Drosophila melanogaster: one gene and its partners. The protein of the gene in region 2 interacts with the protein of the main gene of each other region in a pairwise test. Each region holds a gene or a part of one and is shown on either strand. Other genes may lie near its edges.

What was found.
Region 1: the proteins of Oli (region 2) and GstD1 interact in a two-hybrid assay, tested with the Drosophila melanogaster proteins (one large-scale study listed by BioGRID).
Region 3: the proteins of Oli (region 2) and Dr interact in a two-hybrid assay, tested with the Drosophila melanogaster proteins (one large-scale study listed by BioGRID).
Region 4: the proteins of Oli (region 2) and betaCOP interact in a two-hybrid assay, tested with the Drosophila melanogaster proteins (one large-scale study listed by BioGRID).

What each region holds. Positions count from the first base shown.
Region 1 is NT_033777.3:12,367,292-12,370,885, forward strand, and holds GstD1 (glutathione S transferase D1), read right to left. Parts: upstream 1,978-3,594; 5' UTR 1,912-1,977; intron 1,303-1,911; exon of another isoform or gene 1,285-1,302; 5' UTR 1,281-1,284; coding exon 651-1,280; 3' UTR 526-650; downstream 1-525. UniProt on the Drosophila melanogaster protein: Conjugation of reduced glutathione to a wide number of exogenous and endogenous hydrophobic electrophiles. Has DDT dehydrochlorinase activity. May be involved in detoxification.
Region 2 is NT_033779.5:17,587,303-17,591,768, reverse strand, and holds Oli (olig family), read right to left. Parts: upstream 2,586-4,466; 5' UTR 2,190-2,585; exon of another isoform or gene 1,558-2,189; 5' UTR 1,530-1,557; coding exon 958-1,529; intron 898-957; coding exon 771-897; 3' UTR 502-770; downstream 1-501. Other genes in the region: CG6870 (uncharacterized protein), read left to right, coding at 1-71.
Region 3 is NT_033777.3:29,554,427-29,559,427, reverse strand, and holds the start of Dr (drop), read right to left. Parts: upstream 3,043-5,001; 5' UTR 2,793-3,042; coding exon 1,583-2,792; intron 1-1,582. UniProt on the Drosophila melanogaster protein: Plays a key role in the specification of proneural and promuscular cluster formation. Required for the specification of dorsal and lateral muscle progenitor cells. Regulates development of peripheral nervous system derived from lateral neuroblasts.
Region 4 is NC_004354.4:18,381,030-18,386,790, forward strand, and holds betaCOP (coat protein (coatomer) beta), read right to left. Parts: upstream 4,214-5,761; 5' UTR 4,065-4,213; coding exon 2,434-4,064; intron 2,230-2,433; coding exon 1,574-2,229; intron 1,515-1,573; coding exon 1,353-1,514; intron 1,285-1,352; coding exon 1,011-1,284; intron 941-1,010; coding exon 835-940; intron 745-834; coding exon 679-744; 3' UTR 520-678; downstream 1-519. Other genes in the region: CG6179 (uncharacterized protein), read left to right, coding at 1-70, 133-204. UniProt on the Drosophila melanogaster protein: The coatomer is a cytosolic protein complex that binds to dilysine motifs and reversibly associates with Golgi non-clathrin-coated vesicles, which further mediate biosynthetic protein transport from the ER, via the Golgi up to the trans Golgi network.

The DNA of each region.
Region 1 (3,594 bases), on a different chromosome or scaffold from region 2:
CTGTGTTTTTATTAAAAATGGTGCCCATAATATATAAAATATGTCGAGATTTGCTTCCTTTTAAATGAATAATTTAACTTGGTAATTTTCCACTTTGTTATCTACCGTTAAAAGCTTTTTGAAGAACAAGAAATTACAAGAGCTGCCTTTCTGATGAAAATTTCAGAACCAAAACGAAATTCACTCTAAGTTTCTAATCTATTTCACCAATGAATTTAAGTCTGATAATTTCTCACTTTTTCCTTACAGATTTTCAAGCTTCTTTTTTGAGGCCTTCACCACATAAAACTAACGAGCATCGCGAAAATATTCTATCTTTTATTATCTTTTTTTGTTTGCCTCTCGATTCGGAGAGATTTAGCAAAAGAGGAAAGAGAATCACCCCTGGCATCAAAGAGAAAATAACGAGCATCAAGAGAGCCCACTTATTCAATTGCAGTCCCTATCCACAATATCCACTATCCACATACACATAGTAATATATGTAAATGTACACCCATCTAAAAACAAACTCATTTGTATTTTGTGCATTCAAAAAAAAGAACACTTATTTATTGTCTTTGGAGACAGGCGAATTTGGAATTGTTGTTTGTGAACGTGAATATAAATACTACATCATATGTACGGGTATAAAAACGTGAATATCAGGCTTATTCGAAGTACTTCTTGAACTCCAGGCATCCGGCCCAGTTCTCCTCCCATCCGGGAGTCACCTTCTTGGCGTTCTCGTACCACCTGTTCACATTGGCGTACTTGCTGATCTCGAATTTGGCCACCTCGAATGTGGACACGGTTGCCACCAGGGCAATGTCGGCTACGGTAAGGGAGTCACCGGCGGCGTAGTCCTGTCCCTCCAGGAAGGTGTTCAGGAACTCGAAGGCGGCCTCGATCTTCTTGAAGGCCTCTGGATCGGCGGGCGCCTTGGCGAACACCTGTGGGTAGTAGTAGTTGGCGAAGCTCTGGTACAGCGTTCCCATGTCGAAGTACAGGCGCTGATTGATCACGGCGCGCTTCTTGGGGCACTTAGGGTACAGGGAGTCGGTCTTGCCGTACTTCTCCACCAAATACACCTGGATGGCGCGGGACTCCCACAGCGCGAATCCGTTGTCCACCAGCGTGGGAATGGTGTGCTGGGGATTGATCTTCAGGAACTCCGGCTTCAGGTGCTCACCGGCCTGCAGGTTGAGCAGCTTCTTGTTCAGCTCGACGCCCACGGCCTTGGCGGTCATGATCACGGAGCGGCAGGGGGAGGAGCCGGGCAGGTAGTAGAAGTCAACCATTTTACTGTAGAAGTTCGAAGAACTATCATTTAGTTACAGTGCTCGCAATAAATAATTTGTAGCCAACTTGTTAAGAAATATTATTATCTTCGCTAATTTCTAACCAACGGTTATTTAAAAGCTTAGGGCATTCATTTGTATTTCTAATTTGGGTTTTAAATGGAAGAAGAATCAAGTTGAAAAGAAACTGAAAACAATTGTGAGTCCGCCATATTTGATTGGAGTGAACAAATCTCCAACTTCTTTTCAAATTTAGATGTGAGCACCAAACTTTTTCAAGCATATCCACAAGCGTCGCATTCATATTTAAATTAACAATCTCCCCCTTCTTGAGACCCAAATTGCTTCTGTATTATACACATTATCCATATGGCATGCAAACAGAATAGATCTGGATGCTAGAAAGATATGCCACAATTAGACGCGCTCTATAATTACAAGTTCAGCAAAAGCGGACTTTAATTGGGCCGCCATTACAGAAGTTCACTTGGCTATGATGTCATATCGGGGCTATAATACGTTCAAATGTTGGTAATTTTCCATGCTGCCAATATTTCCTTTTATTTTTGACCAAACACAGGCACACAATCACAAAACACAATATATATAGAAATTGCTGTGGGGAACTTACATTTTTTTCTTCTGTTGTGAAACTCGCGATGTACACTGTATCAAATGAAAAGTAGCACTGAACGGAATTCGAAGAGCGAGCCCACTTTTATAGGGGCCGGCTGTGGTCGCCACAATGCCGGCAAACAAGAGTTGTAGCTTGAAGCGCCCCGCGGGGCGTGGCAAGGTGGGGAGAGAGGTACAGAGAGAGAGAGAGGGGGCTGCTAGTTGTTGTCGTGCCTGGGTTTTTTTTTTGTCTTCTATTATATTCTGACTTGCCCACACATACCCACTAATGGCGGGCAAAAATGTGACGTTAGCGGCGTGATTAATACACTGTTGTGTGGCCATGGGTGTGTGGAGACGATTGATAGTGTGTGTGTGCGTGCTCTGGAGGAGGTTGCACTCTATCCGTTCCCTCATACACCTCCACCATACCCCCGCAAAAGAAAGCTGCAACTTTCTAATGATCCTCCATTGGAACGAAGCCTTTTACTCGCTTAAGAACAAATTTTGTTACATTTCTTTATAATTTCTGATTTTAACAAACAGATAACAAAGAAGATACAATCCTGCCATACAGGTATTATTAATCGTAGGGTATTTACACATCGACTTGCTAAGATTAGCAAACACATAAGCATGCAATCGATTAGCTTGAAACACAATTTTGCATTTCTAATGAACATCTGTGCGCCTGAAAAAACATAAATTCTTTTAAAATGCAAAAAAAAATAAGTACAAACAAATAAGCAGGCAAACAGAAACCAGATAAGAATTCAAGCCGGCCGGCAAACATTGATATCAGGCAAACATATATGTATGTATGTACATATGTACATATATAGCAACAGTTGTCGAGTATTTCCAACACACAAGCAAATCGCGAAAGGCTCATACCGTACTAATAAGACCATAAAAATATAACCGTTTTTCGAATTATTCAATATACTTTGACTCATAGTAATAATTTTAATGGGTAAGCCCAAGCTATGGTAGACAAATAGTAGTAGATTAAATGATGAGTCAAAGGCACATGCAAATTCGAAATTACTGGTACACATTTTCAATGTAACAATATGGATGGGCTTAGTCCATATATCGATCGACTTTTATTGTTTGTGTTTGTTATGACGGCCTTGGGTTTTAATAAGTAATTGCTGTGACCATATAACATGAAAAGGAATACTAGACTTTCATTTCTTGGAAGTATTTGATACTATCAAAGGCGAACACTTGAATATTCCTGCTACACTTCGCTGGGGGTATTTAATTTCCCCAAAACAAATTCGCTTTTATCAGTTTCACAATTCGCAATACCAACTATCAGCATGACCGGGCAAAAAAATTCAATAACAAGTAGGAAAAAATGGAAAGAGCATTTTCGTGGGCGACACGTCAAACAAATTGCGCTCTTAACGTCGAGAACAATCCACAAAACGATTGTGAAATCAAAAATTCCGAACCCCAAGTTCCGAGAGTTACTCATTTGAACATAATGCCGAAATCCAGCTGAATCATGGGAAACACGAGATCGTAAGTATAAGTTCGCCAATAACTGGTTGGGTTAATTCACCAAAAAGCCGGCCCAAAAGGTAGCGTAAAATGTAGAGAAAGGTCACTGTGTTTGCCACTGCAGATCAAAAAAACCAGTTGGACGGCATTGCCAAATGTGCGTCACAGGAAAATAAAGTGAAAAGCGCAA
Region 2 (4,466 bases):
AACTGCCCACCAAGCAGCACATTTTTCGCACTGGCAAAAACAAGGTTTTGTCCCTGGGCATACCGGAATAATATAATGCCAGCCGATTTTGCACCGATCGCCTTCGCCGCCGTCCTCCATGTCGTATATGTCTATATATATATATATTTTTAGAGTATTCATCGACTAGTTTTCTAGTTGTAATCCGCTTATTTCGAATTCCGCTAAACGGCTTTTGCTTAATCATCAAAAACCATACAGACAACTATGTATGTATATTTATATGTTAAATATTTTTGCCAAGACTTGAAACGGATCTAAGATTATATTATTTTAAATTTGATTGTGCTCTTTGATGTTTGTTATCTGATGACTATAAATGGTTGGTTGGGTTGGGCGTGTTTGAGTATTTGAAACTCTTATTTTGTTTGTTTGTTTGATGATTCTGAAAAATGACAGGCTTCTATCAGTGCTGATGGGTAAACCTAAATGACCAAACCCTTTTCCAACGACATACTTTCTACTTCAATAATACTTTATTCGGTAATATTCATCTTACACATATTGGTTGACATTGGGTAAATGCATAAATAAGAAATGCTTATGACAAAAATAAATATCACTGAACAGATTTTCACTTGGCTGCTCTGATAAGAGGCTCCTTATCAACCTCCTTTCGTCTGACTAGTACACAAGTATTTGGCATTTGCTTTCCAATTGACTTAAAAGTATTGCTCATTAATGGATTGCTTATCAGTTGAACCATAGTTTATGGTGGCCCCCACTCCTATTTAACTGCTGCTAGTCGGTGGTTCGTTGTGAGGTCCTTGAAGAAGAGCCTGCAACTTGGCAGCCGCCGGAAATGCACCCAAATCCAGTGGCGCTGCTCCCGTGGTGCTTTGTATATAGGCCAAAAGTCTAAAAGTAAAAGCATATATGTTAATAATTCCTATTGAGCGTGGTAATGAACTACGTTACCTTCTCAACTCCTCGAGAGCATTTTGCTGCATCAGAATGTAGTTCTTAGCCAGCAGCAAGGTGGCTATTTTCGACAGCTTTCGCACAGAAGGCGAATGGGCATAGGGAATCACACTTCTCAGCTCATCAAGGGCATCATTCAAATCGTGCATCCTTCGTCGTTCCCGGGCATTTATGTTCAGCCTTACCGTCTTTCCCTGGCGGTTTTTCTGCTTGCCACTGTTGGAGCCACTTCCGCTGGCGCCACCACTGGACACGGCCACCGTGGTGGTGCCACCACTGATGGCAATGGCTGCGATGGCGGCGGCCGTGGGACTCAATGGCTTCTCCGGAGCACTGGGCCCTGGTTTGTTCTCATCCGTCGGTGGCTGCTGGGACATGCCCATTCCCTGGGCATAGAAACCACCCAGACCAACCGATCCAAGTGGCGTCCGACGGCCGGGGACGCTTTGTGGTGGGCTGGCGGTGGGTGCTGGATGCTGGCCACCAAGCATATTGGCTGTAGGAGGTATTGGCATGTGTCCGTGGTTGGGGAGACCGGGAAAACCAAAAGCAAGATTCGAGGGATCCATTTTTTTGTATTTTATGGGACTTTTCCAGCTGTGAAAAAAAGGTTGAAGGGATGTGTAATCTTTTAGGGTAGTCCTTGCAAATCAAAGTTATTATGATGCAGGGTTGCATAAGAAAACTAAAAAATAGGGGTGAATACTCGTATGCTCAGCTGTTCGGTAGCGCCATCTGTCGGAATTTTATGTATTTAATAGGTTAGCAAAGCTTTTTATAGGTGGAGCATCTGTTTTGTGTTTTAACCCGAAATGGTTTAACAAATTGCAAACGTCTGTCAGGTATTCCTTAAATTTAATTAAAGCAAAATAATCGTTAAGCCTTTCGGAAATTCAAAGCCAAAATATTACGCGGTAGTCAGATTAACAAGATGAATATAAGCTTATCAAAGCTTTTCATAGGTGGCGCTGTGTAGTAGTCCAATTTAAGGGATGGTTTAATATGATGTTTCATGGCGAATACAATTTTAGCGGCATTAAATTTATTTAGGAGCGCAGCACTTCAGAAAACAATAAACTTTAAAATTATACGTCAATATATATAAATAATAAATTTGGCAATTATTAACCCAACGAAATGGATTATAAAATATGCAAAATCGACGCAGCACTTTATTTAACTTGCAGTTAATTCATGACACACTTAAAAGATTATTAATTTAAATTAACCACAAATCACAAGTTCGCCGGTGTACGAAGGGGACGAAGAGCACAGAGCACGGAGAAAGAAATTGCGGATTTAAACATTTTTAAAAATCGCACGCACCACAAACCAGGCAAAAAATTCAGATCCTGAATCGCAATCGGAATCGATGCGCGAGTGTGAGGTGCCCGGCAACAACAGAGACGACCGCGATTTTGTGGTGGGTTATAGTAGTCGCATAACGATTTTCCGATTTTCTCCGCTCACTCTCTCTCTCTCTCTCCCTGCCTCCGCCTATGCTTTCCAATCGCCCGTCTCTTTCGCTCTGTCAGCGAGGATGATTATAAACTTTTTGCCACCGACGCCACCGTCGCCGTTTGGTGTTAATCTCTTTCTGCAGAAGGAATATTATGAGCCACTATATAAAATGTGGGTCGGGTGTCGACGCCGGTGGTTGACGTTTAGTGGTTGGGCTTCGCATAATGCAGCATCCACACCAATACATACAGCACGATTATTACCAATACTCACAAAGGTGAATGAGTCACAGTTTCAGCACTAAGAAAAAAAAATGATTACTAATGATCGAAACCTTTTTGAAACATAACATATAGCATCAGATATACCCTACACAAAATAATAATAATTTCTAACATAAATCTAATCTGCTATTGAAAAGTTAACAATTACATATTTGCATTTAAAAATGGTATAAAATCATACTAATTAATAATCTATTCATTATTAATCATTATTTTGTATATTAAATAAAAGTCTGCATTTTTCAATTGGTTAAGTAATAATTAACTATAACCACACTTGATTGTAACGAAAACCAAAAACTTTTGTTATCTCTCAAAGTTGCATTTAATTGTTGAATATTATTTAGTGCAGTCAAATTTTTTACAAGTGTATGAAGTTTTTAATGCCTTTGCCCTGCCTGTCCGAAAATTCACTTTTCTTGTTGTTCAGGATTTTTATCGCTTCGCTCCTTTTCAACCCTGATGGCCCATCACCACCCCTCGCACCCTGAATCCGCCGGGTCCGCTCCTTTGTCTGTGATTTCAATTTCCATTGAAACTGAATCTAATCACATGCTCACTGCCTGCTGATCCTGGGCCGCCTGGCCAGTCCTGGATTCCTGTCCTAGGGGGTTGAACGAGGAACAAGGACCACGAATAGCCGTCCATAGCCCGTGCATCCTAGTATTTCGCCTATATGCCCATATACAGCATAGCTCAGAGGATGCCGCATCTGCATGGCATTCTCTACGTGAGCGAGTTTGTGCGTTTGCGAGTTGCCTGGAAATTATGGTATCGCATTGTTCAAAGCTGGAACAATGCCATAAATGGCACATGCCAAATATTTTCGTTGGCAAAGGCATAAGCTAGAAAAAGGTATGGAAAATGATAGGAAGTGCTAGGCAGATCTAGGCCACATATTTATTTATTTGATTGTATTTATTAGTTTTAAGCAATCTTTGGGTGTGGGTATATTTTTATTAATTTAAATATAAAAGGACACATTTTTCAATTAAGAGTATTATAAGAGTGTTTTTCAATTGAAATATTTTTTGAAATATTTAGAAATCCGCTGTTTAAATGACAACCTAACAAAATTATCATGAAAATCAAACATTTTTTTAAAAAGTCGTCCGATGAAGATTCTTTGTTAGTGCTGCTCTGATAAATATTTAAAATCAATCAATAGAGAATTTTTTTAATAATAAAATTTAATCGAAAAAATCTGTGAACATTCTTTTTTTTATCGACTTGTAAATTGTTAAGTCAAAATTTGAAATAATTTTTCGAAGATGCCTCTTTTAAAGTTATAAACTTTGTTATTTTACAAGTTCCATAGCTAAAGCAGATGTTTATTATCCAAAGCCAGCATCTCCATCCTCCTGTCAACTGCAATGCCCACTAATGACTTTCCACACTTCGGGCCTCGCAGGACATTTATGTATAAGTGGCGGAGTGTGTGTGCGTGGAGCTGCCTGCAGTCGTTTAGTCCTTAGAATAAGTCAAACTACGAGCACGGGCGACAGACCTAATGACTTCGCGCATGATAAATTTAATAATTTGCGCTGGCAACTTTTCCATTTGGCCTTTGTTTGCGCTTCCCTCCTTTCGTAGGGAAAATTATTGTGTCAGATGTTCGGGGCAGCAGTCACCGTATGCCATTATTTTCAATGAAATCCGGAATCTGGACAGCCCCTCTAGGCAATGCACCATTTGCTGCGTGATTGTGAGAGTTTTTTTTTTTTTTGGGTTTCGGGCTCGGGATCGGAATCGGGTATATTT
Region 3 (5,001 bases), on a different chromosome or scaffold from region 2:
ATTTATATCGATTTGTTGAACAGTTCCCTTTTGAAATATTTTGGAATTTATGAAAGCACTTTTAGAGATGCAGTTCTGGAATTTCATGTATTAATAGTTTGAATGAGGCGGTAATATGGTAATACTCGAACTAACCTACTTTAAAGCCCAAATTTCCTAATACAACACCCCATTTGAAGCCCTTTTTTTCAAAACACAGCCGACAGCTTTATAAAACAATGCTTTGTAGTGGCAAGAAAAACCCGAGCATATGCAGCAAAAACAGGAACAATAGTTGCTGTTCTGCATATAAAAAGCAAATTTACACTTTTTTGCCCACCGTTTTTGCACCGCCCTTTCCGAGTTTTTCGAATGTGTTTGAGCAACTTTAAGGAGCGGAAACGCAGAGTTCGCGATGGCCGAGTAAAGTTCACATGTCAGTCCGGCATCAAAGTGTGACTTGTCGAGTGTTTTCCCCGATTTTCCACCAGTTTTTCCCTACGACCCGCGGTGCTTTTTGTCCAGGAAATGCAGGCAAAGTGTGAACTGTGCATGCAGATAGAGATCGCCCAGTTAAACAGCCAGACTCGCTTCAATTAGTCTGGCTGGTCGGTTAGACAGTCCGCTTTTTACGCGCTTATTATTAGATTTTCCAATTCGGGAACGGTAATGGGGGGCTGGCTGGCTGTCAGACCGGAAAACACCGAAAAACGCCGCTGGCCAGCGAGTGCAATGAATAATCAGACGTGGCCAATTGAGTCAAATCAGAACCGACGCGACTATCATCAGCCATCAGCCATCATCATCATCATCATCATCAAATAATGGGCCCAGCGCAATCAGGCAGTTTTCATTGTTTTATTTAAGGCCCCGCAATAATTGCCACGCACTTTGACTACAAACTGCAGTCACGATCACTTCCATTCCATAGCCATGATGACGATGACGACGAGGTGGCCATGATGGAGCACCCGCAGCTCGCGTCCGACCAGGAGCGGAGAGTCACCATCGATGCCAATTAAGGCGAGGGGCGGCAGTTAATTGAATTAAAATGCGACACAAAATGGTGTAGATAAAGTTGCCACCGCACATGGGGCATAAAACAATGAGGGGTGGGGTGGGTGGTTTGAAATTCCTCCATTAAATAAATCGTTTTTGAATACACATCGCTGGCTGCTAATGGGGAATTTGCTCCCAAGCGGAATTCGCGTATTTCTATTGTTCACGGGTTCAGAAGTTCATGTTTATGGGTTTACAGTTAATTATAAATAAATATATGAAATGTAACTATATATACACTCATATTTACTTTGATGTTAAGGCTCTAAATTGAAAATATTTTCGAAAGAGAGTTGAGGTTGTTTTTATTTTTTTTGAAGTAAACCTTTTGAGTTCTATATTCTCTCCTATATATATTTTTATTTTCCCATTATTTAATTATGCCCATGCTGAATCCTCCATTGCAAATGAGTTTAAAATATCGCTTAGGACAGGACAGTTAAGCACATGTAACAGATAAGGTTTATCATTTCCCCTCTAGGAAGTACAAAAACCGAAAACAAGCTGACAAAAACCCCACAAAGAACTGGATAACGACACTTACCTCCACCGAATCCTGCTCCCGGAAACATGCCAGGCGGTCCGAAGGGCGGCATTTGTCTGGTTCCTGGCCACGGAACTCCACCGCCCATTCCCGTCCAGGCCACCGCCGCGGCGGCCAGTGCACTGAAGGGGGTCGGGCGGATGGGCACATGACCGGAGGCCAGGGCCGCCGGGGAAAGTATCGTGGATTGCATGTGAGAGCCCGGCGGCGGACCGTGCGGCGATTCCAGCGACTTGCCGCTGCCGTCGAGGCCGTCGGGCGTGGAGCGCGGCGAGTCGTCGGCGTTCATGTCCTCGATATCCACAATGGAGTCCTCCTCCTCGTCGTGATCGGCCTCGTGGTCCTGCAGCATCTCCTCGTCGTACTCCAGCTCGGAGTCCGTGTGGCTGCCCAGCGGCGAATGGCGTTCATTTTTGGCGGGAGTGGAGGCCACATTGCCCTGCGATCCCAGTGCGGATCCCAGTGGCGTGGAGCTGGGCGTGGAACTCGTGGAGGCGGGTGGCGAGTTGGCCCGGGCGTCCGCCTGCTGCTGCTGTTGGCGCAGCTGGGCGGCCATCGCCTGGTGCTGGGCATGTGCCGCCGCAGCCGCGTGGGCGGCCTGCAGCAAGTGGGCGTGGTGCGCGACGGCGGCGGGATGGAAGGTGTTGGCGGGAACTTGGGCGGCCGCACTGGCCGGCGGAGGCGGCGGCGTGCTGCTGGCCTGGGAGATGGGCGAGGTGGCCGCCGAACTGGTCAGGTTCTGGGGTCCATCCGCCGCCTGGTTGGGTGGCGTTCTGGGCCTCGTGTCCGCCAGGAGAGAGGCCACACTAAAGTTGCTCAGTCGGGAGGTGGTCTTGTGCAGATGGTGGGCCGGCGGATGCACTGCGGCCAGCTGGAGCGCCGCCGCCTGCTGCTGCTGTTGCTGCTGCTGCTGGTGTTGCTGGTGCTGCTGCAGCAGATGCTGCTGATGGGCCAGCAGCAGTGCCGACGGCGAGGTGGGACTGGCCAGGGCATTCAGGCCAGCCGGGTGGCTAGGACTCAGGTTGGTCAGGTTGCTGCTGGTCATGTTGCCGCTGCTCATGTTGCTGCCGCTGTTGCTGCCGCTGTTGCTACTGCTGCTGGTGATGATGAGGTTACCCGCGGGAGTGTTACTGCTCGGCGGCACCGTGGGACTGGTCATCGTCTGGCGCAGACCTGTAACTGTCATGCTCGCTGGGCTGAGCTTTAACATAAAGCCTTTCGATCGTTTGTGTAACTGTGGCTCGTTAATACTGTGCTTTAGGTGCGCCGGTTAATTGGTTCATTGAGACATGGTCTGCTGTTAATTTGTTTTGATTATCTTTCAATTAATGCGCTCGTTCGTCACACGCTTGGGAAACACAGACACACACTGTCACACGCGGCGTTTTGTATCTTTTCAGGGGCTATTTATTTCCAGAGAGAGACACGTCCTCTTGAGATCACGTCTGTTCTGCGACTGAAACTGTGGTCGCAGTTTCGGATGCACCGCTGCCTGCCACACAGATACTCACTCACACCGACGCACTCGACGATTGGTGGTGGGAAACCGGCTGTGTAGAGCGTGCCTCTCTCTCACTCCCGTGGTGGAGTGCACCGCGTGCGACACCATTTTTATTGGTTTCGAGACTAGCTCGCTCGCTCTTTTTTTCCGGTGTGAGTCTTGTATTTCTCCACTTTTCTGACTTTTGTTCCGCCTTCTTTTCTCTTTCGCTCTCGCTTCAGTGTGGTGAGTTTGCCGCACTCTTGCCGTACAGACAGAGATGGTGTAGCTGCCCCGCAGTATAGCCGTCCCTGTCGCACGCCTAATTATTATTGAATAATTCAATCTTCAAAGCGTTTTTCCACTTTTTTTTCGAGCTGCTGCGCGTATTAGCATTTTATAACAAGCAGCGGCGGCAAACGCCTGTCCATTTCCACTTTGGTTTTCTGGCTTTTCCTTCCATCTCCATTTTCCCTCTATCTCCCTCTTTATCGTTTATGACTTCATTTGGCCAAATTGGCGTGATTTTTTAAGCTTTATGTACGCCTAATATGTACATATATATGTATGTATATATAGACCAGGCGGTTTTTCAATTTTAATTGGCACTCCTACATGTCCTTAGCGTACAAGAACAATATAATAAATAATAAGCCCATCATTATCAGGGCCCCAAAAGCATCAAATGTCGGGTGGAGCGGCATTATCGCAAAGCTGCAATCTCGGTCAGGAAATTATGTTTTTTCTTCCCTTTTGCTCCACCTCAGGAGATAAGCCATAAAAATCGGATCGGTCCACATAAATCGAACGTCCCGGGAACCCGGCCGAATCAATCACATACATATAAATGTGAAATATGCAGGATTATATAGAATTTTGCCAACCCCCATAAGCTCCATAAATTGCAAGGTTGGCGGGTGGAGTGAGGGAGGGAGCGGGAATACCGCACCCTTTATAATTCTCGCTCTACAAATTAAACTCATTTTAAGGATTATTATGTGAAATTGTTGGCTTGAAAACTTTTGCCAGCCATTGTTCAGCTGCTCCTTTGTTTTCCGCTGCTCGAAGGACCAAGTTGTGAAAATGGGAAATGGGCGTCGGATTGTGCGGGTTCGCTCGGCTTTTCGGGCGGCAAGTTGGTGAAAGGATTTTAATGACAATTGCCAGTGGGTGGAAAATAAAGAGCTCAATTAGAACAGTTGACGAATGGCTGTGTGGTTGCCTTAATTAGTTGCAAACGATGCTGAAAATGAAACGACTCTGCATGATTGGGGAAATTCTAGCCAATTAATTTGAGTTCTTGCCTAAATGGGTTGGGTGAAATTTAGAAATATTTTTATATAATTTCTGAACTTTTTTCAAACTCTTTCCGAAATCGTTTTTAATTACACTTAAAAGAAACCAAGACAGTAAACTCGTTTATGAACTTCTCACATTTCCCAGCCATTCAATTAACACTTGATATACCTCTTACCACTTTTCCAACGCCCCTCTTGACTGATTAAAATTTTTCCAACTTCCCAAAACTTGAGCTCTTCATTACGATGCCCGGCAATTCCGCTTTCTTTTCAATTAAACATTTCGAAATGGCGGCAAAATGCGATGAGAGGCCCCTCAGCTCGTTAATATCATTGTCTGCGTCTCGTTTTCTATACTTTGTGCCGTTGGCATAAACAATTATAGCCAATTACAAATATTAATTTCTCAGGCCAAGCACGTCGAGCGTTTCTTCTTTTATTTTCCACTACTTAACCACCATCATTATTCATTGCGCTTTGAAATACGCAAATGAGCGCCGAAAAAAAGCAATACAACAACGAGGCGCAAATTAATTTTTCAATAAACATCATAAGCGAGCTCCAGCCCCCTCCACTCCCCCCACCTATTCTCGATCCCACCACTTCGAGATGAAACGAAACCGGCAAAAGCAGCAGCAAGT
Region 4 (5,761 bases), on a different chromosome or scaffold from region 2:
CAGAAAGGACATGATCCATCCGCTCACGGATCGCAAGCTCAAGGAGAAGGACATCATTCCCCTGCAGCGAGTAAGTACATCGCGAACTGTGCAACTATTCTGCATTGCTAAGGTTTCTCGACTATTTCACAGGGCGGCACTGGCTACGCAACGACGAACGACCACCTCCAGGCCAAGGAAAAACGGCCCATGCTCCAGGCCTAAGACGAATTTATATAGCCGCCAGCTACTTGGGAGCACTTCAATAGAAATGTAATCGTTTTAGCACTAGCTAGTTTAAACAATCAATTATTTCTCCAGATTTTAAAACAATTGTGTATCATAACTTATACAAAACTTGGGTATTTTATCTGTTCCAATTCTACCTTTTCGTTTATTGCAAGACGAAGTGCATACATACTTATTGTTAAATAGGAAAAAACAAAATAAATACACTGATACTCGTACCACACAACCAATTAACCAGTAGTCCGAATTTCTATGGAAACAGCCCCGTCAAATGAAACCACTGCCAATCTTGGGGTTAAGGTATAATATTATATTCTTTATGTATAATTGTAACGTGTAATGTAAATTGAAGAAGCTGCAGCTGGCGGAATGCGGGCAGGTGGCCGAGTACGTCGTCTAGATACGTCGCTCCTGCTGGTGGCTGGTCGTCCACGTCCAGTTCCACGTCCACTAGGCCGCCTGCACCGACTGCTTCTGCGAGGAGCTGATCTTGTCGCCCAGACTCAAGGCCATGCCCTGTGTGAAAGGCGCGAAATACGGAATACGGATTAGAAAGTTGCGCATGACCATGTGCAGATGTGCGGCTGGTTTGTGCTCGACTCTCACCTGACTCTTGGCGCGAATGCGTATGTGTCCCGTCACCTTCGAATCGGGATCATCGACGGGCTTCTCGATACTCAGATTGGCCAAGGCATTCTCTCCGAAAATGGACCTGCAAAGTGAGCGGATGAGTTGTGATGAGAATATGATGGCTACTCCATAGTGGACAGCTGGACACTCACTTGGCGTACATGTTGGCGGCCATGAAGCCGCACTGGCCGGACAGCGCCTTCTCCGGCGTGAGGCACTTCATGTTGGTGCTCTTCAGCAGGTGCTTGAGATATTCGTGCAGGTCGGTGAAGCTGGTGTTGACGGTGACCTTGTTCTCCCACTCGAAGTCCTGCCACATTTGACGGAACTCGGTGTCCGTGCAGCTGGCCGGAATTATGTAGTCCATGATGTCGATGTGAATGGTATTGAGGACCACCACATTCGTGTTCAGGGCGGTTTCGTAAACTGTTGGTTAAGCGCCATAAGTGAGCGTGAGTGCACTTTAACAGCGAATTCCGCAATTAGCAACTCACCAATATTGCCGAAGATGATGCCGTTCTCTGTGGAGGAGACCTTTACGTTGGCCTTGATATTGCAGAAGTCGTGCGGAGCCAGGACCACTGGATGCGGGCGCTCCACCAGCTTAAGATCGCCCAATGTGGCCAACTCCAGTGTGCAGTTCTGTAGCGTGTCGTCTGAAAGTGATTTCATGGATTGAAAGCGATGCCCTTTCGCCTAAAGATGCACTACTCACTGGTCTGGTTGACGATCAGCACGTCCAGGACAATATCGTACTGATTGACATTGACGTAGGCCTCCGCATAGACGGGATCCGAGAAGCCAGTCAGTTGGGTGACCTTGTTGAGCTTGCTGTTCGGCGAGGCCACGTCGCTCAGCTGGGCGTTCTTGCTGCCGGCCAACGCCTGGTTCAGACTGGATTCGAACACATTCTCGCCCAGCTGATTGTCACGTCCGTTCGAGAGCTGTGCAAAGAGCACCGGATCGTCCGGCTGCACCTTGGCGGTGGCCTTCTGCTTCTCCTTCAACATGCGCTGGTCCTCGTCGTGCTGCGCATCCAGCATCTTGCCCAGAGCCTCGCGGCAGTACAGTGTGAAGACGGAGATAGCCTCCGGCGTGCGTTCGCTCAGCGTGCGCAGGCAGACGAAGATGCGATCGGTGTCATCGTTGGTTATGGGCTTGCTAGGGAAACCGGACTTGCCCAGGTGCAGTATCGAGCTCATGATCAGCATTACCTGCGTGGTCAGACGATTCTGGGCACGCGCCTCCGTCTCCAGCTCTGCGTAGCGCAGTGCCAGCTTGGTCAACGTGGCGGATAGAGCGGCGCCGATGAAGAAGTCGCCGTCCATCAAGTACTGACGCAATGGCGGACGTTTCTCCGCCTTGGCCACCCTGCAGAAAGCATTAACCAGCGTTAGAATCAGAACTGCAAACAACTATTTTGTAGGTGCTACGTATTAAGATGACTCATTGCCGAACAATAGATAATGGGCATGTCTAGCTAGAGGCATACTTATCAGTGCAAGCTGATGCAATGCCACAAGCCTCGAATGCCTCATTGGTGGCATGATATACGTACACGTAGCCATTACTTACGGGGCCAGACTGTAGGCACTCTGGGTGGCATAGGTTCCATCGGAGGTGACCTTGTTGCTGGCGTTTCCGGAGCCAGAGCCCTCTGCGGCGGATCCAGCTGCATTGCCGCCTGCGGATCCCTGCTGCTGCTTCTGCTCCTCGGTCTGGTCGCCGGCCAAGCGACGCTGCTCCGCCTCCACCATGGGCACTTCGCCCAGCGTCTGCTGAATGACGGCAATCACCTCCAGGATTTGCGAGCCCTCCACGTATTCACCCAAAATCCAAACGGCGGCGCGATGAATTTTGGAGGACTTAATCTGCGGGAAGGCCTCAATTAAATGCTCAATGATGAGGGCGCGCAGGGCGGGGAACTTTTGGATGGCTTCGCGTATGAAGATAAGCACATCGGCGGCGGCAAGTTCGTTGGTATCCGAGAGGAATTCAACCAGTACGGGTATAACATTGGCGGCCACATCGGGAAACTTGATGGAGCAGGTGTGCAGGGTGCGGACGAGCAGCTGCCTGTACTTGCCAGTGTCCTCGTGCTCCACATTGTGCGTCTTGGCCACCTCCTTCTTGAGGACCAGCACCATTTCGCCAATATTACGCGAATAGACCAAGTCCAGGGCCAGCGCGAGTGTTTTCCTGCGCACCTCGATGTCTGGTGCGGCCAGGACGCGCAGAACGTCCATCACCAGATCCTGCATCACCTTCTCCATGCCCTCGTGCTCCTTCATGGCCACCAGGCGATCGAGCACGATTAGCTTGACGTTGTTGTCGCTCTCCTTGACCACCAGTTCGATGTAGCAACTGGCCGCCGCCTTGATGGCCGTGGGCGCCAGCGAGAGCGTAATCAATGTGCCAGCGGACTCGTAACGCACCGCATTCGAGCTGGAGTTCAGCAGGTTGTAGATGCAGCGTATGAACCGCGAACGCTCGGCGGGATTGGCATGGCACACCTTATAGATCAGCTCCACGATGACCAGCTGCAGTATATCGCCGAAAGTGTGCACCTGATCGATGCAACTGGCCAGATAGTTGAGCGCTCGCTCCTGGTCCGCATGCAGTAGCATAAGGAAGGCGTTGCGCTTGCAGCTCATGTCCTGCTGCGTGTCCAGGAAGCTGGCAATCAGCTCCGGCCCATCGGGCACCAGCCAATCGAAGTTCTTGTAGATGGTAAAGATGGCCAGCACGGCATTTCGTCGCACATACGAGTGCCGGTGATCCAGGCACGCCCGTATGGCCGGCATCAGTGGCTCCAGCAGCTCCGGCTCCTTCAGCTTGCAGAGGAAGCGCAGTGTCGAGCCGCGCAGAAACTCATTGGGATGCTGCAAATCCTTCCTGTACGCATCGCACACCAGTATCATCTCCTGCAGCAGCTTCCCATCCGCCGATGTCTTCGGCACAATTTCCCAGAAGATGAGCAGCAGCTTCTTGATCGTGTGGTTCTGCACCGGCAGGACGAAGCGTATGATGGTCATGATCAGGCCCGGATACCGCTCCCCATTCAGCAGCAACTTGATTACCCGCTTCAGCGTCTCGATCTTCACGTTCGTGTCGCCCTTTTCGAGATCGCGCTTCAGTTGCATCTCGTTGGTCACCTCCAGGTCCGGCGAGTTGATTATCGTGTAGCACGGCACTTGCGACGTCATCGTGGCTGCCTATTCCGTTCGCCTGTTTATCCCGATAATGCCAATTGACCAACTTATTTCCTAATTTCCAAATTCAGTTTTTTTTTGGTCTTTCCGACGTGTCACAATGCTAACAGGGTGTGACCGTGCGCGGCGCCGTGCGGAAATGCCACGCGAGTGCTGCCAGGGCTGCGCAGTGCTCTAGCGGGGACGCACACCGCCGGCCAGCAACCGCTTCGGCTAACAGCGGGCTGTTGAGCGCACTTGGCGCGCTTTTCAAACGTTTTGTTATTTGATTGTTATTTATCATTCTTATCATTTTTTAGTTCAACAAGTTTAACATTAGAATGTACAAAAAGCAGATGCACTTAAGCTCCACAAATGTATAGCTGGAAATTTACTTGCATTGCAGTGCTTGCATCTACAGAGCGAGTGCTGTTAAGTTACAGTGTCTTTTTCGCGCCATAACTGCAGTTTGAAATGCTATGTAACTATGTAAATGCATGCCAAAAATGTAAAAAATGAAAAGTGTTATAAACAAATTATTCTACATTAAGTTAAAGCTAATGAATTTTTCATTTCATATATAACACATTTAACAAAATATTATTTTGTTATATACTTTTATTTAAAATAGTAAGTATCACTGTTTCAAAAATGCCATTCGATTTGCAATTTGTACTTAAAATAAGTGAGTAGCAGTGCTTCATTTTTATCGCATACAATTTCCCTGATGAATGCCTTTTCCGTGCGGTTAAATAATGCAACGAAGCTTTTGCGCTGACAAACACACTTTGTGCTGGGCGTAGCTCCATTACCTCCCTTCTATTACCTGGCTGCAGATAGCCTCCGTGCCAGAGGACTGCTGATAAGAGGCCACCTCGGACTACTCGGAAAAATCCCCAACCCATTGCGATCCGGGTAAATTCCCGACCGCTCCGGGGCTCTTGACCTTGCCCAGTGCGAAGTGTGTGTGTTTGCATCTGCGGCACTGCCAAGCAATCTAATTCGGTTTCTGGTTTCGATTCCACTAGAAAGATCCCCGCCCACGCCCACGTCCCAAGTCCCACGGCATTTGCCATTGTGATCTCGTTTTGCACTTCATCATTCAATTGCCGCCCCCGCGACTCATTGCCCAGCCACGCCCCCTCCCTCAAAGGAGGAGGCACGGCCTGCATTTTAAGCAGTTCGTCAATTCTCTGCTGGATGTGGACAGTTCTCCACAGCTCCTCTTCGTTGCTCTTACTGCAACGAGCCGGTGCGGGTGACTAGCTAGGTGATCTGATCCCATCGTGGAACAGGTTCTGTGCCCGGCCTGAATAAACAAATGCCCTGATAGCGGGGCGAAATTGAAGTATATAAAACTAGAGACGAGTGCGAAAGCGAATGTGAGTGATATGCGAATAGCGCATACTCTCACTTTTTGCAGAAGCTTAAATGAGCTCCAAGTTTATCCACTCGAAGTTTATCCCCTGCATTTTTAGGAATATAAAACAATTTCGCATAACATATAAATCTAGATTTTGCTTGCAAATTATCTAAACGCAGTGCAATCATTTAAATTATCATAATAAATACTTGCACTTTTCAAATTGGCCATCTCAAGATCGTAGTTATGCGTCCAATTAAAAATTCAAAAAATATCCCCTCGGAGTGTATAAATAAAAGGCAATTACTCTTAATTTGTTTACTTCCAAGAAGAGTGAATTTAAAGTAGC